Linked DNA regions of Mus musculus: regions 1, 2, 3, 4, 5 and 6 are each reported to be linked to region 7. Evidence: microRNA targets listed by miRTarBase, many of them from high-throughput screens and not tested one by one. Region 7 holds a microRNA gene; each other region holds the end of a gene's coding sequence. Distances are from middle to middle.

What was found. The annotated mature microRNA mmu-miR-223-3p reads UGUCAGUUUGUCAAAUACCCCA and lies in region 7 at 2,074-2,095, shown strand. An mRNA with a match to its seed (bases 2 to 7 or 8) in the 3' UTR can be bound and repressed. Matches are read on the target gene's strand: a 7mer-m8 pairs with bases 2 to 8, a 7mer-A1 pairs with bases 2 to 7 and ends in A, and an 8mer does both.
Region 1: the mRNA of Syn1 is a reported target of mmu-miR-223-3p. The part of its 3' UTR that is shown has no 7-base or 8-base seed match.
Region 2: miRTarBase lists Miga2 as a target of mmu-miR-223-3p. The part of its 3' UTR that is shown has no 7-base or 8-base seed match.
Region 3: the mRNA of Pds5b is a reported target of mmu-miR-223-3p. Seed matches in the 3' UTR shown: 8mer at 2,441-2,448.
Region 4: miRTarBase lists Asf1b as a target of mmu-miR-223-3p. The part of its 3' UTR that is shown has no 7-base or 8-base seed match.
Region 5: miRTarBase lists Extl2 as a target of mmu-miR-223-3p. Seed matches in the 3' UTR shown: 7mer-m8 at 1,063-1,069.
Region 6: the mRNA of Tlcd3a is a reported target of mmu-miR-223-3p. Seed matches in the 3' UTR shown: 7mer-A1 at 2,308-2,314 and 7mer-A1 at 2,041-2,047.

Annotation. Positions count from the first base shown.
Region 1 is chrX:20,858,960-20,862,038 of GRCm38, reverse strand. It overlaps Syn1 (synapsin I), which reads left to right. Exons shown (of 13, transcript NM_013680.4): 13 at 430-1,528. The coding sequence ends at 565. Araf (Araf proto-oncogene, serine/threonine kinase) reads right to left here. Exons shown (of 16, transcript NM_009703.2): 15 at 2,220-2,354; 16 at 1,518-2,060. The coding sequence ends at 1,926. Among named protein-coding and RNA genes, the nearest start is that of Mir5617, 2.7 kb to the left of the region's middle.
Region 2 is chr2:30,383,545-30,386,626 of GRCm38, reverse strand. It overlaps Miga2 (mitoguardin 2), which reads right to left. Exons shown (of 16, transcript NM_001242407.1): 15 at 2,921-3,037; 16 at 1,108-2,698. The coding sequence ends at 2,492. Among named protein-coding and RNA genes, the nearest start is that of Dolpp1, 7.2 kb to the left of the region's middle.
Region 3 is chr5:150,807,525-150,810,606 of GRCm38, reverse strand. Pds5b (PDS5 cohesin associated factor B) reads right to left here. Exons shown (of 35, transcript NM_175310.6): 35 at 1-2,794. The coding sequence ends at 2,759. Among named protein-coding and RNA genes, the nearest start is that of Gm36447, 5.9 kb to the left of the region's middle.
Region 4 is chr8:83,968,674-83,971,755 of GRCm38, reverse strand. It overlaps Asf1b (anti-silencing function 1B histone chaperone), which reads right to left. Exons shown (of 4, transcript NM_024184.2): 4 at 1,561-2,622. The coding sequence ends at 2,416. Among named protein-coding and RNA genes, the nearest start is that of Prkaca, 2.8 kb to the left of the region's middle.
Region 5 is chr3:116,026,951-116,030,019 of GRCm38, forward strand. Extl2 (exostosin-like glycosyltransferase 2) reads left to right here. Exons shown (of 5, transcript NM_001163514.1): 5 at 63-2,066. The coding sequence ends at 548. Among named protein-coding and RNA genes, the nearest start is that of Extl2, 20 kb to the left of the region's middle.
Region 6 is chr11:76,207,913-76,210,994 of GRCm38, reverse strand. It overlaps Tlcd3a (TLC domain containing 3A), which reads right to left. Exons shown (of 5, transcript NM_027773.4): 5 at 1,578-3,082. The coding sequence ends at 2,816. Gemin4 (gem nuclear organelle associated protein 4) reads left to right here. Exons shown (of 2, transcript NM_177367.3): 2 at 1-424. The coding sequence ends at 238. Among named protein-coding and RNA genes, the nearest start is that of Tlcd3a, 7.4 kb to the right of the region's middle.
Region 7 is chrX:96,240,811-96,243,892 of GRCm38, forward strand. It overlaps Mir223 (microRNA 223), which reads left to right and starts at 2,007; the gene lies at 2,007-2,116. F630028O10Rik (RIKEN cDNA F630028O10 gene) reads left to right here. Exons shown (of 3, transcript NR_030718.1): 3 at 228-2,832.

The DNA of each region.
Region 1 (3,079 bases), 75 Mb from region 7:
ATTCTATTCCCCTAGCCCTTAGCTCCAAAGTTTTCCCTGGCCCCCACCCCCACCCCATCTGTTCCCCCTCAGACTGGCTTACCTCATACTAGACTGTCCCTAGCCCAGGCTCCTCCTAGGCTCCTTGCTGGAACCCCTCCTTTCATCCTCCATATCAAACTGACCAAGGAATCTTCCCATTAAACCACACCACTTTATCTTATATCTAAGTCCTCTCAGCTGACCCCACATTCGCCTCAGTCTCAGCTTCATCACCCTTGAGAATCCATCAGGGTTCAGGGGCATGCTTGGGGGTGGGAAGGTCACAGGCACAGCCTCAGGATCAGAGGGGCAGGGCTGGGGCTGGGCCTAGGGTAACATTGTGTTTCTCTCCCTTCCTCCCCTTCCTCTTCCCCCTTCCTCCCATGCCTCCACCTTGTCTCTCTCTAGCAAATCCCAGTCTCTGACCAATGCCTTCAACCTTCCAGAGCCAGCCCCTCCCAGGCCCAGCCTTAGCCAGGACGAGGTGAAAGCTGAGACCATCCGCAGCCTGAGGAAGTCTTTCGCCAGCCTCTTCTCCGACTGACATCCCACTCTGAGAACCCCTAAACCCCTAGACAGCCCTCTCTGGGTCCTGAGTCCATTTCTCACTTTTGGAACCTCCAAATCCCTTGAGAACCCCTCTCCTGGTTCTCCTAGAGCCCACTTCTCATTCCTCAGTATGTCCCTTGAGAAACCTGGTCCTAAATCCAGTTCTCACATTTGGGAATCCCCAAGTCCATTTAGAATCCTGTTCCTGGTCACCTCCAGATCTGTTTGAGAACCTCCAAACTCCTGAAGACCTCTACTTCTGGTACATCTAAAGGGTGATTTCTTCCCTGAAAGTTCCTGAATGGCAGAAAACCTGTTTCTGACCTAATACATCGAATCCTCTCCTGGAGCTCTGAAATTCCTGAAAAACCCTATTCTACTCTTGGTCCTGAATCTCTCCAACACACCTTGCTCCTAATCAGAAATTTCCAATTCCATAAGAAGCCCCTATCCTTAAACCTCTTCCATAGGTCATCTCTCTGGAGATCCACATCTTCAAATGCCACCTACCATCCACCAAGCAGTCCCTCAAGGACTTCCCTTCACCTCTTCCTCTCCATCCCATTCAATATACTGGAAGTTCCTTCCACTTCTAGGACCCCTAAGTTCCCTCCTCCAGAAACCCCTCCCCAATTTCCTGCCTCTGACAGCTGTCTTTAAATATGCAAACTCCACCCATCCTCAGAATCCTTTGCACAAGGAAGGCCTGTGGTCTCCCACTCCCCTACCTTTGCCAATGTGTTTATCTGTGACTGACTTGGCCTCCTTTTGTGCCATGCTTGGCATATGTGGTCCTCATTCATGCCGCCTGTGGTAATGCGTACAGTGGCACTGTTTTTGTGGTCTGCATCTTCCTCCAACCTCCACTCCTTGCCTGGACTTGCCCCACCCCTCAGCGGCTCTGAACCCCCAAGAGAAGAGTCGGGAAGCAAAATAAACAAGCAAAGGCCCAGCAGAATTCTGTGCTTCTTGGTAAAGAGGAGAGTCCTTGAATAGTGGGGGAGACAAAAAGAAACCCCCAAATCTACATGGGGTGCTGGGAACCCCAAAATCCAGTGAAGACACATCAGGCAAAAACTTTAGAAAGAGGTTCTGAGTGGAATCCTTGCACTGAGTCACAGCCATTGGAGATAAAACAGCTCTCCAAATTAGAACTATCCCCAAACCCAAGAGGAGACCAAATTATGGAGAAAGCAGGAGACCTCAGTTTTTGGGGTCCCTCAAATTTCCCAGGGTATGGGATAGGGAATCCTGAGGCAGTATCAAGGCAGAGGCAGAACAGTTATTGGCTGGTAGGTCGGTGTGCCTTGGCATGGTATGCTGAAATTGGCTCCCTGGTGGGCTGGGAGTGAGGTCTAAGGCACAAGACGGGCTGCGCTGAGAAGGCAAGCAGGCAACTCATCAGCCTGGGTGCGGTGCAAGGAGGGTTCGGAGGCACTCCGCTCAATCTTGGGGAGTGACCGCTGCAGTAGCTCGATCGTGGCCAGAATCTGGGAGCGGGTGGAGATGAAGAGGGGTGTCCAGAGTCCCAGAGATACTCCAATATCCCCAATCCCCAGCTTTCAACATGGTTCACATTCAATATCTGCCTCTATCTCTTTACTCACAGTGCATCTCCCCAAGGTATCCAGCCCTCCTACCCAGCCCACCTGGGGAAATAGGGGCCGCTCCTCCCGCTGGAACTTGAGGCAGTCAGTCAGCAGGCGCCTCATGGCTTTGGGGCAATTACTGAAGATTTTGCTGAGGTCCGGAGACAGATAGCCACGGCCCACCATAAAGATGATCTGGTGTGTGGGGAGGAATGGGTTGATTTGGGGTTTGAGCTGGGAGGCCCAGGGATCTATGAATCTTAAAATATATGTTAGGTTAATTTTTGAGGACTAGAGGTGTCTAGTACTAAGGCCCAGAGGAGTCTGTGTCCCTGAGGACTAGGGAGGATTTTCTGCTGATAAAAGAGAGGGATTTATATTAAGGCTGTCAAAGACTGTAGGTGTGTATGGCCCAGAACAATAGGAGTCTGGAGTTATTAAGGGGCATAAGCTCAGAAAATACTAAGATTCGGGAAAATGCAGAGCACTACTTCTTGGGGGAAACTTCCATTTCTGTAGGAGTCTGGGGCATAAATAAGTCTATGTAGACTTACTTATGTAGTACTCAAAGCTCAAATACTTGATATCTGGACCTGGTATCTAAGAACAGGGAAGGTTCTAGATCTTAAATTCGGAGAATTGTGTGAGAATTTAAGACCTAGAGTGTTATGAATTCCAAGACCCCAAATTCAGGGTGACTATGGGTATTTGAGAAGCACAAAGGGCCTGAGTGTTGGACACTCAGAATGTTCAGGGGGCTTCTGAAGGGTTTGGGGTCTAGGAACATTCTGAATATAGGGAGTCAAAGAAATCTGGATTTTAAGGGTTCTGGCTCAGGGGTTTGTGGATGTGTGAGGAGGATGGGATATAAGATATCTAAAAGACAGATTCCAGGACTCTTCATTCAGAAAAATCCTAGG
Region 2 (3,082 bases), not on the chromosome of region 7:
GCACCACCATACCCACACCTTTTTACATAGGACTAGTTAAGTCCTGTGAGAATTCCTGCACACACAGGACAGAGCCGCTGTTTTATGTGCAACTGGAATGTGGGTCCACACACTGGAAAGCTGCACTAGAGCTCTGCTTGCTGAGGTGCTTATGAAAGAAGTTCACACCTGAAGTTCACTCTAAATTCTCTGGAAACATACAAAGCAAACACGACAGAATGGTAACTAAAGGCATCAGGTTTGCCGCTTGCTTTGTTTTTAAAGAGTGCGGTGCTGAGGACTGAACTTGGGGTTTTGTGAATGCTGGGTAAGTGCTCGGCCACAGATATACTTTCAGCCCTAGAAGAATTGTGGTAAGCTGAATGTGGTGGCCCAAGACTAATCCCAGCAATTGGGTACAGAGCCAAGCAGGACTCTGTAGGTTCAAGATTAGCCTGGTCCACACACAAGGACCTGAACATTCAGGGCTACATTGAAAGAAAAAGAAAACAGAAAAATCCTGGGTCTATATACACATATGTTCTACAGAGGTCGGTACTGAATGTCTTCTCTTAATCGCTCTCCAGTCGTGTTTTAAGGCAGGAGCTCTCACTGAGACCAGATGATGATTCAGCTAAACTGGTTGGCCCACATGGCCACAGAGAACAAGCCACTACACAGCCTCTGCCCGTGGCTTCTTCATCAGCTCCTCCTTCCAGGCTCCTGCCTTTAATGCTGTTGATGATGGCCTGTGATGTGGAACTGTGAGTGAAATAAACCCTTTCCTGCCCACGCTGCCATTGGTCATGGTCTTTCTTCACAGCAGCAGTAACCCTAAGCCCGATGCCTATGAAGACACATTAAGACCTGACAGGCTGTGAATCACCTAGCTGGGCACAATGCCCATGACTTACAGATGTGGGAACTGAGGACAAGAAGTGCAGGCCACCCACTACACATCTGCATCTTGTCATCCCAGGGACACACACATCCTGTCAAGCTTTCACCTGGCCGTATCAGGCTGCTCCTGACCTGTTCCTCCTGGAGCCTCTACCCATGGTACAGGGCAAGTGTCCAGCCTTTGGCTCAGCATTGCCCCCACCTCTACCCAGCAAGACACAGAGAAGAGTCGCTTCGGTCCTTTATCTGACTCACAGGCCTTACACACACTCTACCACTGCTGGTTGAGTGCTAGAGGGTGGGGCATAGACACATGAACAGGACAAAAATGAAAATACCACACTGTATGGGTCAGGGGCAGAGCAGAGCAGGCCTTAGCCCAGGGTCACATTCACAGCTCAGGGTAAGTGCAAATGAATGGAATGTCAAGACAGTGCATGAGGGCTGCTCCCTTCTGAGCACAAGCCTCAGAGAGGACCCAGAGCCATGGCTGCCCTCTCTTTACTGCATCCTGCTGACCCTGGGGAACCCTTTTCCCTTCCAGGGAGAGGAACTTGGTTCCAGGAGCCAGTGCTCAACTCCAGACCAGGAGTCTTTTCTCCTGGTGTCACAACCTGGAAGGGATGGAACAGCCAAATAAAGTATTAAGGCAATAAATAAAAACTTCCCAGCTCAGGCAAAAGGAGGGCTGCCAGGACTACTGCAGCTGCCGTGACAAATGCCAACTGTCTGCAGGACGTGGGTGGTGGCAGCCCCAAAGCACGTGTGCATGGAGTTGAAGGCAAAGTGCTGAGTCCAGCTTCCTGTCAGAAAGGGGAAGGGGGAGCTGCCCGCTGTGCAGCCCATGCCCACCCTGCCATGGTTCCGTGCTCACTTTTGGAGCAGTAGATGGGCCACTGTGAGCTCTGACTGGGGCCCAGCACTGCCCAGGAGCTCCTGGCTCACCAGAGAGCAGGAAGCGGCCAGTCCTGCCTCCTCCATCTTTGGTGACAGAGGGGATAAAAACAATCTTTGGCAGGGTGTGGGAATGTGGAGAACAGCGCCAAGGGTTTGTGAAGGGTGAGTACCTGCTCAGATGTGAGCACACATGGGGCAAGCCCACCTCTGGATGGCCCAGACATGGCTTTCCATACTGGCCAGAAGCCTAGGTGCTGGGACTTAATGTAGCTATTGGTGGCTGCTAATTGCAGGACCCTGTGACTGTCACCACCTAGCCCTGTATGTTCTATCCCTCAACTATCCCTTGCCCTCCCTCAGCAGCAGGGGGGGACTGGGGTTCTGTGGTCCATACTCAAGAGCCATTTGCTCCCACACCTTTCTCTCTTGCTACCTGCCCCTGGCCAGTCCCTGCTGACTCTGGCCTGCCTCTGCTGCTCAGGGAACCCCAAGGGCAGCTGCTATCAGTGCTTCTAGTGGTTCCTCTCCATGGAAATTTGTCCCCTGGGTGTTGGGAATTCCCAGGTGAGGAAGTGGAGCAAGCTTAGGGGCAATGGCCCTTGGCCACCATGGCCCTTGGATACCAACCCAAAGGAAGGGAGTGGCAGCTTTCTCTCTCCTATCACCTTGTATCTGAGGCCCAAACAGCCACCTCTCCCCTCCAGCCCATCCCCTGTTACTGCAGCTCTTCCAGGGGCCCATTTTCTCGAGGCAGTGGCCCATTCAGCCCGATGCTACTAGCCACAGGTGCCCCCAGGTAGCCCAATAGAATCTCGCTGCGCCGCCGGGACAGCTGTAGGATGTCTTCTGCTAGGGCTGGCACAGATGTGTAGCGCACGTTGTCCAGGTCGAACATGTCCCTCAGGTATTGTACAATCTGGTGCTAGGGGTAGGAGACTGGTGTTGGGTTTGGGTCCTGAGACATTTTCTACATTCTACAAAGTCCCTTTCTCAATGACCAAGCCCCAGCCCACTCTCCCAGCCTTAAGCAACTGCCTTCCTGGGCTCATCCTATAGTGGTCACCTAGAGCAGCCCGGGTCCCACCCCTCTTCTGGCACTGAGGGGTGTCTGCAGTAGCAGGAAAGCAGGAGTGTTGTCATGTACCTTGAAGAAAGCACAGACTTCCGAGAGCTGGGGCTTGGGTCCGAGGAAGCCAAAGGCCAACACAGGGCTAACATGCTCCGATACGGAGTAGAAATGGGAGATGAAGCCATCAGGCACCTGTGGTGAGTGGCAGGGCTAAGGAGCAGGTTGGGGTTGGGGATC
Region 3 (3,082 bases), not on the chromosome of region 7:
CATCTAGAACCAACTGTTCATTGATAACATAATACTATGTGGTAGAAGGTTATGCCTAAGTTAAACAAATCATTAAATCCCCAATATTCTTTCAGTAGGCAAAAGGAACCTTTAAAAGTCAAACTTGCAAGCTGTAAGAAGATGTAGAAAGTCATTTAAACTTTAATGTCTAGAACAAGTTTTACAGCACATTTCTAATTTACACATAGAATGGAGATCACTGAAAGAGCTTAGTGGGGTACTGCAGCAAGCAAGGCTCACCTGGGAGTCACCAGATTCCTTCCACAGTCGGCTTGTTACAATGAGCTTGTTACAGGTCCTTAATGTCAGACAGTACACGTTCTCAAAATGAGTACGACCACTGCAGTATGCTAACAACTGTAGCAATTAATGTCGTATACATACTTAGCTTTATTTTAAAGTATGTGGCTCTCCAAGTGTTAGTACAGGAAGTGTTAAGTTTAAACATAATAATAAGCCCCCAAGATGGAGACTCAGGACATAAAAACTTTGATCATTATTGCACCTATTTCTCTACACAAAAATGGAAATTTTACATTATAATCCTCCCAAAAGTGAACAGGCGGGTTGTAAAATTACAGGCTCATTGGCATTGGACACAAACAAAATCTACAGTGACCATGTCTGTAATGAACTGATGCACAGCATTAATGTGCAATGAAATCTGGTGAACTATGATCATGCAAATAAAAATCCTCCATAATATTTTTTTTGTTTTATAAAATGGTTTTAAACATATATTTCCATAAATATTTCCAATGAAGTTTAGTTGATGACAAAAATACAATGCTATCCTTTATTACTTATGCTGTAAGTTTAAAAACATGCTTCTGTACTGTTGAAATCGAAACATCATTGTCTGGAGAGCTGAGTTAATGAAACATTTAAAATACAAAGTATCATAACCCAGCCTTAGCTGTCCTCACAGGCAGAGGCCTCCCATCACCACGGTGCCAACACTGTTGCAAATGAAGAAAGTTAAACACTGAAGGATTAAGACACAATTCAAACATCTTTTAAAAAATAAAGTGTTTCATAAACATGAGGAAATATTAAAAAGAAAAATAATCACATCATTTGCGATACATACTAGAAAATAGCATGATGTCATTTCTAAAATAGTCACTTCTTTATAGCATCCCAATTTATTATATCCAATTTTGGAAACATAAAGGTGTACTATATGAAACTGCTCTGTTAACTTGATATAGTAACTTGGTAACTCAAAATGTCATTTTCTTTTCTACTGTTAACAATTGTGCAAAACCAACCCTGCACCCGTAAATCTAAAGTTAATTCAGGTGAGCATAAGGTAGCAACCAATACATTTTGGTTCATACTCTATGTAAAGGGCACTGCCTTGATAATCCATTTTTAGACTTTGCAGACCTCTAAATTAAACCCAGGCAAATTTCCATCTTTCCTATTCTGGATGCAGTGGGACTCTCTCAGTGTTTGTGAGTGTGACGCCTAAAGTCTCAGCCCAAACTAGATAAATCACTGCCACCCAGTACCACCACCCCCACCAAACAATTTTTTTTTTGGCTCCAAAATAAAGTACAATTATAAACTCTTGATGAAAAACTATGTTAGGGGGTCATCTATCATATACTATGGCTAAGTATGAATTTACAGAAAAGCACATCTCATGATCAGCAATTTTTCATAAACATGCAACTCACTATAAAATACAAAACACTTGGCTTTCAAGAACAGATTTATAAAGATACACTGCATCAATAAAATTTTTTGTTTCTGATTAACTTTACATGGTTATGGAGAATGAGAACTTTCCTAACGTGTATATATCAGATTTTATATTATAGTGTAATAATTTGCATTTCTGAACATAATGTTCAAGAAGTAATATCTATACACAATAACATTCTAGACTATTAAAAGCCCATTCAAATTACAGAATTTTATTGATACAGTAGATTAATATAAACTGAAAAAAGATGATAGAATGGAATAAAGAATTTAGTACATTATTTTATAACACACTCTTTAAAATTAAAATATTTTAAATCTCTTTCTTAAAATTTTCGTTGCCATGAAAGGCCAGAGAATTCTGGGACCAATACTGAGGTGTGAAGTCATCAGATAAGCTCAGGACTATCTCACAATCCATGTCGTGCCCCAGACAGAGGCATGTTCTAGTGTGCTGGCAGATGCTTTAGCACCTCAGAAGACAACAGTGCCCTGGAGTAAACATAGATGAGCTACAAAGAGGGGCAGGAAGAAACCATTTAACTCCAACAAACAGTGACATTGAGAAAATGACACCAATTGTTGAAAACAAATTTTCACAGTAAAATTGCAGAGAATTCAAATACAAACACTGACAGACTACGTACTGCTTAAGATCCACCCTAGCAAATGCTTTTCAAATGAACAGATCCGGTAAGCAGCTGGGTCCTGTCAGTTTAAAGCCGCAGATAAAAGCTATACAAGCACTTTAGAAGTCAGAAATGGGGGAGTGGGATTATTTACATGTGTCTTCTTTAGTTTGTGTCTACACAGCCATCACACAGGACACTTTCACAAGACTCTGGAGTCAGTGTTATCACTGTGTGGATGGCTGATACGTGTGACCACAAACCCATGGTCATCCGAAGTCCAACTGTCCACGCTTTGGCAGTTCTGGTTTGTGCATCCAAGGCTTTATTTAGCCTCATATTTAGACAAAAAATGTTTTTTCCCCCCAAAGCTTTCACAATAGAAGTTAATGACGTGTTCATCGTCTCTCTCGTTTGGAGCTTCGCCGTCGTACCTGAAGAGAAAAGTCAACAGATGACCAATGTGAACACATCCGAATTTAGCCTAAGTACCAGCCATCATTTTTAAAACAATCTTTATTCTCACACATTTCTGAATTTCTTTGTATTTCTTTTCCTAAAACTGTCCTCCTCTTCTTCCTATCTTCAGATATTAAGGCCTCTATGGTATCTACATCTGGACAAGCCCATAAGCAGCCTTTTCCAGGCCACAGATTATTTCCCTTCTGTATTCATGTTTAGAGTCACTCACAGATATAATGCAGTGTGCACAGGTGAGTAAC
Region 4 (3,082 bases), not on the chromosome of region 7:
ACTGCTAAATGTACTCTTGGAAACAAATTATCCCTACCCTCACCAGAGCTCTGTAATAGAGGGTGGCCAGGGTGGACGGTGCTGGGTGGACGGTGCTGAGTGGACGATGAGCTACCTCTCCTGGACTCCAAAGGGTAGTTGACTCTGAGGTACATATACCTATAGACTCACTGCTCAACAATGCACAACCAGCTTCTAAGCCAATAACTATATGTACTCCTGCTACTAGGTCAGCTGCAGTCCCCGAGGGGGAAAGTACCCTGCCAGAAAGTACGGTTCCTCTGGATTATGCGAGTTGGCTGAACAGACAAATACTCCATCTCTGATTTGGGGAGTTTTGCCACAGCTAAGTGAAATTATCTAAATTGTGGCTCTGTGTGTCCTTGGGTCACAATGTTGCTCTATGCCTGTGGGTCAAGGTCAGAGTGAGAAAAAAATCACTGGCCGCCATCTATTGAACAGCTGGCATACTTAAGCTTGGACAAAACAGAACCAAAATTAAAAAAAAAAAATGGGCAAAGAAAAATAGGCTTTGACCCCCAGGTTGTGGTGCAAACTGTACAACTAGTTGAGACTGGAATTAGGGGAGCAAGCAAAGGGAGAAGGTCCAGCCACTGTAAGGACAAGAAGTTACTCATGATATGAAAGTGACAAAGCTGTTCAGCCACAGAAGGACAAAAAAGAAAACAGCATATTACAAAACTTTTTACAGGCACCAGCTGACTTAAGAGCACTGGCTGCTTTCTGGAGGATTGGTTCAATTCCCAGCTCCCCACATGGAGATTCACAGCCACTTCTAGAAGCTCCAAAGCCCTCTTCTGGTCTCTGCAGACACCAGTCGTGGTACACAGCCGGCCCATACAGGCAAAATACCCAAAACACATAAAATAAAATTAAAAAAAAAGTTTTAATCCAGGCAAGGTAGAGCATGCCCTTAATCCTAGCACATGGGAGGCAGAGGCAGGTAGATTTCTGAGTTTGAAGCCAGCCTTGTCTCAGATCAAGTTCCAGGATAACTAGAGAAACTCTATTTCAAAAAAGACACACAAAAACAAAACAACAACAACAAAAAAACCTAAAAAACAAACTAACAAACCAACCTCTCCCCCCACCCCCGTAAAAAAACAACAAAACAACAAAACCACCACCACCATAAACCCTAAAGAAAAACAACCAAACAAAACAAAATAACCATTAAGCTGGGCAGTGGTGGCGCATGCCTTTAATCCCAGCACTTGGGAGGCAGAGGCAGGCAGATTTCTGAGTTCGAGGCCAGCCTGATCTACAAAGTGAGTTCCAGGACAGCCAGAGCTACACAGAGAAACCCTGTCTCGAAAAACAACAACAACAACAACAACAACAACAACAACAACAACAAAAAAAACCAACATTAAAACAACCCTTTTGCAGGTATGGTATTGTACACTTTTAATCCTATCACTCGAGGCAGAGGAGGCAGAGGCAGAGGCAGGTGGATCTCTGGTCTACAGAATGAATCCCAGGCCTGCTATGTGTGAGTGGGTGGACGGAGGAGAGGGGAGAGAAAAAAGCAAAACAATCTAGATGAAGTGCTTTTATTCTTAAGACAACCAAAACTTTTAATATAAAACCTTTTAATATACACACTGCAATCACAATAGCATACATGTAGCAGCAAGGGAACTAAGGGCTTAGGATAGAGGTGGATGGAATGGGAGTTTTTCAGGTCAGCCTGCCAAACACCTCCTTTATCCCAGAGTATTTGGGTATAGCATGAGAATGAACATGTGGTCAAAGCAAACCCTGATGACTCTATGGGGCCAGAATGCATGAAGCAGGACCTCCAATATACCTACCTAGGGCAATCCTCTCAGAAAGCCAGGCTCAGTCAGGAGATGAAAAGGTGGCTGTGACCAAAGTACCTGACATCCCTCATTGGCCTGGGGAGCTCACTTTTGCGTTTTGTAGTACTAGTTAGACTGAATGTCCTAGACACTCTGAAAGGATAGCCATTGTATTGAGCTGGCCTTCGAACTAGGACTTCTTCCTTGCCTAGTCCCCAAGAACTAGAGTTGGAAGGAGTGATAACCTCTGGCCAATGCTAGCCAGACACTGCCCAAGCAAGCCTCACAGAAGGTGGTGTTCAGAAAGCATCTCATAGAAACTGATAATATATAAAGAAAAATGACGCATAGAATGAGCAATACAAGTACCTGCTTTTTAGAGGTCAGTAGGTCATAAGTGAGATGATTCTTCTGGACCTGGATGGAAGAGATTGGGGCCCATTGTTTTTTCTTGGGGCTGACAGATCTGGAGACAGCTGGTGGTCCCCAAATCCTTGAGATGACCAAGCATGTCTGACTGAGGGCTTGTAGGTCCCCTCCAGGTGTGCAAGGAGACTGCTGTGGTCCTACTGAGCTCTACCTGGCTCCCCTGTCAGATGCAATCCATGGAGTTCTCAGGGAGGAGGCCTGGGATGCAACTAGGGAGGCCCAGGCTTTTAACAGGAGTGCAACTGAGGGAAAGGCTGAAGTCCACATTGGGGTCCTGGTTTTCTATGGCTTCCAGACTGTCTGGATTGTTGTCCCAGTTGATATGGAATCGGGTCACCCGGGGGTTAGAGGCCAAGATGTTCCGCTGTAGCTGTAGTAAGAAGAAGAATGTCAGCCCTTGTCACCTAAGTGTTCATTATTCCCTCAAACCTCCACTTTGAGCCTGAAAGCAGACTCAAGCACCCCTGTTGCTCAGATGTAGAACCCTAGAGATACTTGAACACTCTGGGTAGGAATAGGGCCTTCTCATCCTGGGTTTGCTTAGCTTTGTTCATTTGGTTTTGGGTTGTTTTGAGAGAGGGTCTCAACTATGTAGCCATGGTTGGCCTATAACTATATAGATGAGGAGGGCCTTAAACACATGAGATCTGCCTATATCACCCCAAGTGCTTTAACCCCCGCCCCCAAGTACTGGGGTTAGAGATATGTATTACCATGCCTGGCTTATTTGATTTAAAAAAAAAAAACAAAAAAACTTTGTATATGGGTGTTTGGCTGTAAATATGTCTATGTCACATATGTGTGCCTGGTGCCTTTGGAGGCCAGAAGAG
Region 5 (3,069 bases), not on the chromosome of region 7:
TTTATCCATGTCTGCTCCAAAGAAACACCACACTTAACTGTTCCTTTTCCTCCTCTTTTCAGCAATTTCCTGATCAGATCATAGGATTTGTACCTAGAAAGCACGTCTCTACTTCCTCCGGGATCTACAGTTACGGAGGCTTTGAGCTGCAGACACCGGGGCCCGGGAATGGCGACCAGTACTCCATGGTGCTCATCGGAGCCTCCTTCTTCAACAGCAAATACCTGGAACTCTTCCAGAAGCAGCCTGCAGCCGTCCACGCGCTGATCGATGAGACGCAGAACTGTGACGACATCGCTATGAATTTCCTCGTCACCAGGCACACTGGCAAGCCTTCAGGGATATTCGTGAAACCCATAAACATGGTCAACTTGGAAAAAGAAACCAACGGGTATTCCGGAATGTGGCACCGGGCGGAGCACTTTCTGCAGAGATCCTACTGTATAAATAAGCTCGTTAACATCTACGACGGCATGCCCTTAAAGTACTCCAACATTATGATTTCCCAGTTTGGTTTTCCGTATGCCAACCATAAAAGTAAAATGTGAACCGGAAACAAAGACAAGCCCAAAACACCGCGCTGGGTTTTCAGTGGCTTCTCCATGCTGTGTGTTTTTGGTTTTATTTTTGGTTTTTTTTTTCAAGCAACACTATGAACTTTTATCTAGTCCATAAGTCTCTATAATAGAAACAAAAAAACCATATGCGGTACTTCTAGAATATAAAACACATGGACCTTCAAAAGCCAAGAAGTTGGCCTTACCGGGATAGGATTTCCTGTGAAGAGCTTTTGTCCAAGATGGTGACATTATTGTTTACATCTCGAGACTGCTCCTCAGTTTGTTTGAGCCCTGGCATTTGCCTCAAGGCCCTACAGCAAGCTGCTTCCAGAGACTCACAAGAGACAATTTTCAGCTTTTCGGTGAAGGTCGATTGTTTTTATTTGAAGCCTGAAATGCCTGCGGTATAGGGAAAAGCCATGTGAGGAGAGTTTAGTCTGAACTCAGTGTTGAGAGCCAGGAAAATTCCTGGTTGCCGGTGTCTTTCTGGTCCATCTCACAGAACTGACTGAGCCCAGCACGGTTCTAACGAAGCTGTCAGTGCTGGTGTCTCTGCTGTTACGCCTGTTGGTGACTGGGAGTGTAAGTTTTCATGGCTGACTGTTGTTTAATTGGTTTTTATTGGTTTGGTTTGGTTTGGTTTTTGTGTGAGCCTACTCTGCATGGATCACTGAAATGTGCCAGCCATGTTTCTTATATGTAACTTGTATGCAACAAGGAATCAGTGTGTCCCTGTAATCTGTCACCGCATATGACCTTGAGAATCTACATTAGTTCTTATATTTTACAGAATGTGTTGAATAATGAATAAATATGTATAAAAATAACTTCTGGAAGAATGGTTAAGTAGAAGCTAGCAGAAATAAAAAACTTTAGTATCAAAGATCTTTATTATTAAAGCATAGGCTACCTTGTGAGTATTTAATAACTGTATTGCACAAAAATGTTTCCATACAGAACCCAGGATTTTGTTAGGATTTTTTTTAAGTCCCAATTCATGACGAAATTTCAATTACATGGTTGTTGAAAATAAAAAGGACTGAGCCATCATGTGAGAAGGCAGTGGGATGCTCTCAGGAGTTCACTGTTCCTACCACACACCTCTCGCTGTGGGAGCCAGTGTCTGTGTCTTGCCTGCTGTCCTTTGGTTTGACCTTGTTCACCACTACTGAAAAGAAATAATCTATCAGGCCTCTGTGTATCACTTTTCTTCTTCTCTTCATATAAGGCGTGAAAATAGGAGAATACTGACCACCCAAGTTCCACTGCAAGACCTTCCCGCCGTCAGTTCAGCGTCTGTTTGTCTAACAATGTATGTGTGTGTCTTAATGCAATCAGAAATATATTTCATTTGATCCCATTAAAACTTATGTCAGTTACATGCTTTGTCCACATTTGGTAATACACTTTTGCTTCTTGGTTGTCCACATTTGGTAATACATTTTTGCTTCTTGGTCATCCACTGTCAAATAAATAAACGTCAGCTGGCCACTGTGTTAATAACTGAGCGGGTGCTCTGGTGACGTGTTCCGTGTTTCTCTGTACTTGGCAGTACCACTCACTGTGAAGCTGAAAACTTGATGTGTTCACCAGGAATAAGTTTCCTATTGGGAAGATAGCCCTGTGTTTGATTGAAAATTTTAAATAACCATGTGAATTGTACTATTTTCTCTCATATTATGAATCATCAACAAAAATACTTTTAGGTCTATATAAGAAAGATTTCTACACTGTGGCTAGACCTCCTAAGACCATCTTTCCATGAAAACCTTTTACTCGTACTCCACATGATCCAAAATCACTTGTGCGGGCTCAAAACTACACCTGTGTAGCAGTGTAGCTCAGGAGTGAAGCCTACAGGCTCTGCTATTAGACTCCGGGACGAAATCCTTGCCAGACATCACATTTGAAGAGCCCCTGTTTGTCAAAATGTGATTGTTTTATATATATCCTAAACGTTGGAAAACTAAGGACAGGTTAATATTCATAGGTTTTATTAAGAATTGGTTTTAAATAATAAGAGAGGTGGTATGTCTGACTAGAGTCATACGTCATAGTCATAGCGGCTTCCCCATTTCAGATGTTCAAAGCGTTAAAGCTGTTAGGTTGCTCTAATGCTAGAAAACCCAACATCCACAAAGGGAGATACGGAGAGCACTGTCTGTGCACAGTACCCAGGAACCAAAGGCTTGTTCCTTGTTTTCATTCTTTATATACTTTCCCCCCTGTGTTTTGTTTTGGAGACAGTTTTATCCTTTAATGTAGGCTGGCCTCAAACTCAAGGCCCCTCCTGCCCGAGTCTCCCAAAATGCTGAGATTAGAGACATGAGACATCATCACACCTGGCTCTTCACATTAAAGCCACAGTACGTATGTATTCTATCAGTTTGGACACATTTACAGCAGTGTAAAGAAATCAAAGATCACCCCTGTAATCCCAGCACTCAGATGGCTGAGGGAGGAGAATTCCTGTGAAGATCAGCCCTGCTACAGAGTAAGACCCTCTCTC
Region 6 (3,082 bases), not on the chromosome of region 7:
CCAGATGTTCTGTCATGTTCTGCATATCATGGCCATGCTCCCTCAGGAGGTCTGTGAACCCCTCTACGTGCTGGCCTTGGAAATCCTTACCTGCTACGAGACTCTAAGCAAAAGCAACCCTTCTGTCAGCTCCTTGCTCCAGAAGGTAGACGAGCAGCGCTTCTTAAAGTCTATCGCCAAGAACATTAGCCCTGAGGAGCGGCGCCAAACCCTGCTACAAAAGATCAACAACTTCTGACCTGTTGAGGGCAGAACAAAACTATGCCTCCGTCCACCGTGGTGTTTCTGCAGGGCCCAGAGCTAAGAACAAACAAAGTTATAAGAACGTACACAGTGAAAGGAGTACAAGAGCAGTGTAAAGAAATAGTTTTCTTAGATATTTGTCACATACTACTTAAATAAAATTCTCTTGGGTTTAATCTTATCTTGAGCCTTTCTCAGAAGTTTGGGCTTAAATATGCTCCAAATTAGGTTTAGGTAGTCTTTAAGATCAAGTCAAGCCAGTAGGACAGGTATGGGAGTGTACACCTGTAGCATCAGCCTTCAGGAGGCTCAGGCAGAGGGTGGCAACTTGGACTGCATAGGAATATCCAAAAGTTAAAAAAAGGCCAGCTGGAGAGGAACATGTTTGTAACTGAAATTCTCCACCTAGTTTTGGCAGTAAGCCCAAAGTTGGAGCTACCGAGTGGGGGGTAAGGGGGAGGAGAAACGTTATATGTTCTTTTTAGTGACATCCTCGTGGAGTCTTTTCAACTAGGCTTGGTAGAAGTACATCCTTATAAGCCCAGCATTCGGGTAGCTGAAGTAGAAGGCTCAGTTCAAGGCCAGCCTGGGCTACTAGCAAGCATTTTTGTATTCCATCTTCTTACCAAGGTTATCTCATAAAGGGCAGATGTGGAAAGGGGCTCACTCAGCGCTGGTTGACTTGTGCCAAAGAGGCCTGCACCAAGGAACACTGTTAAGGGGGTAGTAACCATCGCCTCAGCACATCCGGGAGAGGTGCTAAGCCAGGGCTGCTGAATAGCTGGTGCCCTTGGAGGGTGGCTATAATTACCTTCTTCCTGGGGTGAGATTGTTTTGGTTTTGATGACTGAGTGGCATAGGCAACAATACAGAAGCATAAAAATGAAAGCATAAGGTTTCCAGGGCAATGTTACACAACTCTTAGAACTGGTTAGGGGAGGTATCATTTAGGGAGGTGAGAGGAAAGGTCCCATCACCTACTTACCCACACCCTCATCTAAAATGGTTTACTCCTCTGGTACTCTTCTCCCACCTAATGGAAACTGTGGTCAGCAGGCAGGCAGGCAGGCAGGCAGGCAGGCAGGCTTCCACCCTCCCAACTTCTAGTTGGGATCCACCAGAGGAAGGAAAACCTGAAGTTAAATGTGAGCACTGAGCGTGAACTCTGGGCACCTTCCGTGTATCCTTTGGTACTTTGAACCAACATGTTGGACTATGAGTAAGACCTGCCTAGAGGCCATTTGCCTTCCGTGACCAGACTAGGAATTACCGAAAACGGTAGTCAGGCTGGGTCTCGGATGTTTGGGGAATTCGGCGCCAGGGCACATAACAAATAGAGAATTTAGTGCAATTTAATTACTATATGGATGACTTGTGGATACAGTAAACAGAACAAAAAAACACAAAACAGCATTTTTTATGTTTTTTAAATGGCACCTATTAAAGACTGAAACTCAAAAATTGAGATGCAACCATCCAGTCCTTTAGAAGTCCATGGACAGTGAATTATAAGGCACTGTAGTGTTTTTGCTGCCACCTGAAGTAGTGGCAGCAGGTCCTCTCAACCCCAGCCTGTGGTGAGAGATGATCTGTGCTACACCACATGCTACAGCACACAGCTAACAAACAGCACTGGTCCACAGGACATGCTCTGGCTCGTCTGGCTTCTCTCTCCTGTTTTCAAGCTTTCTGTGGCTAGAACATTCAACACAGAAATGGGTCTGTCTTAGCAGGAAGCACTGGCCTACAGGACACCTGGAGAGCAGACGTCTGTGTCCATTTTGTATGAAAGGGCAGTGTCAGTGTGGGATTACCCAGTAAGCTGCTATAGAAGCCATCACTCCACCTTGTCCCTGGAGTTTCAGGCCAGTTTTTGGTGTGTGTGGACACAGAAAACTGGTCATGAGAGGCCATGCTAAAAAGGAGAAATGGTGTAGGTAACTGCTTTCAAGAAGCTCACAAGTTTGATACTGGTCTTTATACAAAGCCTGCAAAGATGCTGGCCTCTGCTGGCCTCCTGACCTACTCAAGTGCTTCAGGTTCTCAGCCCTGCCTCCTGCCCATTGTCAGTGAGCCCTTCTGACTAGAAGTCAGCAGGCATGAGAATTCATTGTTGATATACAGATAAGGACAAGGGCTGTCTAGTAAACGGTAAAAGACATACCCACGATGTCTTTCCTAGTATTGGAAAATGACACAGTTTCAAGAACCAAGTTGTCACTTGCTTCTGACCCAGTATGGGTGTTGCCGGGTGTTGCCCTGAGTGGGTGGGAAGGGGAGAACAGTGCTTCACCTCCCAAAACTCTTTCCCAGGCCCAAGGAAGGCTCCTCAGGCTTGCTGGTAAAACTACTGCAGTGGGGCTTTGACAGGATCCAAGTTATCACCAGAAAACAAAACAAAAAGTGCTTTTGCAAAAGGCTGGTTAGAAGGAGGAGGTAATGGGGATTTTTAAAAAAGAAGACCAAAAATCCAGAGGTTTATCAACATCCAGAAGGCAGAGACTACCCCAGGCATGATTTGGTCCTTGGAATACTGAGGCAGCTAGTGTGAGTGCCTGACCCCTGAGAGTAATTAACCATCCTTTTTGGCTTTGGCAGTGTCAAAGAGCCGGGCCGCCTTCTTGCACAGCAGTGAGAACCAGTAGAGCTGGGGAGAGATGAGGACGGCATTGGCCATGTTGCAGTGTAAAGGGATATTAAATGGCACTTGGAGCAGGCTTAGTCCTTTTTGTTGGCCATAGGACCAGTACATGAATGGGAACAGAAGGATCCGGCAGAACAGAAAGGTGGTCACCGTGAGGATTCCATTGACCTTGTAAAGAAGCGTATGCTGCTGCTT
Region 7 (3,082 bases):
GACATGGTCCTGAGTACTTCTTTATCACCAAATATATTTTCTGATATGTGGCTTATTCTGGACATTTATAGATTTTTGGTAAAATCTTATACCTCTTTTACCAAGCTTATGCCTTTCAATTTGCGTCATGAAGACTGACTATGTAGTCATCTATGTCTTCATTCTTATGGGTCTGACTAACTTTAATCAACTAAACTTGCTTCTCTTATATGTATTCCTCTGAATAGGTGTGAACTGGAACATCAAGAATGAAAATGAAATAGTCCCTTACCCAGCTTAAGGACTGACTTCTCCATCAATCCTGGAAAACAGTATTTATAATAATCTATTAAGTCAGTGCACTAGAACTCTTTAGCCCCTTTCATGGCTCTTTTCCAGTGTTCTTGGGTTATGTGAGGTCGGATAGGGCAATTGAGAGGCTATGGATATCTCTAAAGTGTCTAGCTCTCCTTACAGCAGATGATAAGCAGAGATGCTGTCAAGAAAACCAAAACCAATAACCCATTACTCCTTTCTCTTTTAATCACTTTCCTTGGCTTTTACTAGCTCCAGAGTTGGAAATAAGGTCTCTTTAAGCTCCCTTCTAAAAAGCTCTAGAAGTCTCATCCAACATTTTTCAAGACCTTGAGATGTAAGATTTCTGTCTCTATTTCTAGAGAAGACAATTGATGCCCAAGAAAACTTTAAACCTGGGTAGGACAAAATTTGATACTATCAAGCATTTTGAATAACAGGATCATGATGCTAAACAAAATATCAAATAAATTGAGATGGCTTGGCTCTTCTGGCAGCTGCCCTGGTAGCTATGAGTTCAAACATCTTAATACTTCCCTGCAAAATCCACTGCCTGTTTTGCTCTTTGTTGCTGTTGCTCTCCCTTTTGCAAGGGAATATAAAAAGCAGACAAGAAAAAGTGGTGGGGTGGACAGCCAAGGGACACAATGAGCTGATGGATGATATAATTCCCAAACTGTAAACAACTTGTTTTATGACCTTTTGGAAGTCTTTCCCTAAACATCAGACTTCATTTTCTCATTTATAATCTTGAATGGGTAAAACTAGATGACTTATAAGGGCATTTTAATATCATTAATTCTTTACTGCTTATGAGAAAAGGCAACCAAGTTAGACAAAGCCGGCTAAGGCCACAAGAAATTACTGTTTCAATTCTGTTAAATAAATTATCTATCTTTTCCCCTGTTAGTATCTATCTTATATGTTTAATTTTAAAGCACATTTTAGTCACTTTTATTTATGTACAGGGGATCAAATACAGAGTATTGTACAAGTTAGGTAAGTGTTCTGCTACTGAGTTTTATCTCTAGATCTTGATTGTTTACTTTTTTGTTTGAGAAAGGGTAGTATTATATAGCCCAAATTGACTTTAAATCTGAGGTTCTCCTATCTCTGTCTATGAAAGCTTGTATGCACACATGTACTATCATACCTGGCTATAGCCACAATTTTTGAGTATTTGTTAGGTAACAAACACTAAATTAATGGCTTTATATGCATTATTACATATTCTTGCCATGATTTCATGGGCATTTTTGTGGCTATGGAAGAAGTAGGTTTCAGGGACATAAACTCATTTATTTAAGGTGTTCAGCTAGTTAATGGTAGAGGTAGAATTCAAATCCAGTTTTAAAAATCAACATCTAGGTACATAACCAGGGTAAACAGAGCATACAAGAAGTTGATAGGAGGAAGGAACACATAAATTGTCCCCGAGGACAGAATGATGACAATTTTTTCCTGTTTCAGCTGAATAGAAGAGTTAATTGAGGCTTGGGCCACCAGAATCTCCAGACAAACACCCAGGATCCCCGTTTTTGTTTGGAGCATTAGCGTGTTTTGTTCACTTCCCTCTTTTGGTGTGTCTTAGTCAGTCATGTTAGTGTCTGCCATTTGTCTCACACTTAGGGTAAGATATAATCACCCTATTTTTTTCTCTTTCCAGTTGCACATCTTCCAGCATGTTCTTGCTGCCCAGTGGAGGTTCCTGATCTGGCCATCTGCAGTGTCACGCTCCGTGTATTTGACAAGCTGAGTTGGACACTCTGTGTGGTAGAGTGTCAGTTTGTCAAATACCCCAAGTGTGGCTCATGCCTATCAGCTCCAGGTCCAGGACAGAGCACATAGCCTGCTGCCTACATATGAATGCTTATGAAACATGAAGCTCTCTGGTGTTATTCTATGTCTTTAAGGGAACTATAACATTTATTCAGAGAACATCAGAGTAGGAACGATGCAGCTCTGGGGTCTACAAGTCTGGTATGCATCTGTGTACATTGTGAAAATGCCATGGACTGCATAGTGGTACATGAGGGATACAGGGAATGAGAGTATTATTTGATTTATTATTAATGTCTTCTTTCACTTTCCTCTTCTTGCAGCCAGAATAGCAGAATTTTCATACAAGCATCATGAATTCTATGAGAAAGTAGGAAATAAATATCCACTGTCTGGCCTTCGGAGCACATCTTAAGCTACCTACATTTTCTCTTTTCCACTTTGCTTTTATCATTCTTAAAAGAACCTTCTTGTTTATCTTCATTGGGCTTTCAGACACTACCAAATTCCAATTCCTCTTGGCACTATTGAAAGTTAACCTATACTTTTCTTTACTCCTTGGCTAACCACATACTGGTATGTGCTATTATATGTCCTACCATCCAACACATCTTCTAAAGTTGTCAGTGAATTTTTCCAGGGTATGTTCTTGAATTCCCTATTATATTGTAAGAATCTAGAGCTTATTATATTCAGTTGATTGCTGTCTCTCATACCATTGTCCAACATTTTAATTATTAATAAATATTTACCAATTAATTGATGTTTTACTAGTCAATAACCTTTTGCTATATAGGTCAAATACCAACCAGGGTTTTGCGAAAAAAATAAATCAAACTGTGGGTATTCTAATGCTATAGTGTATACAAGATGGTAACCAAAATGGATTTTTTTTTCCTCTGAGAAATAAGATTTAGGTCTGGGGCAGGAGGGCAAGAAGAAAGAATAGACTCAGAGGGAAAAATTTTTTGAATTATTGGTTTACACGTGTCTTTTTAAACAGAATTTT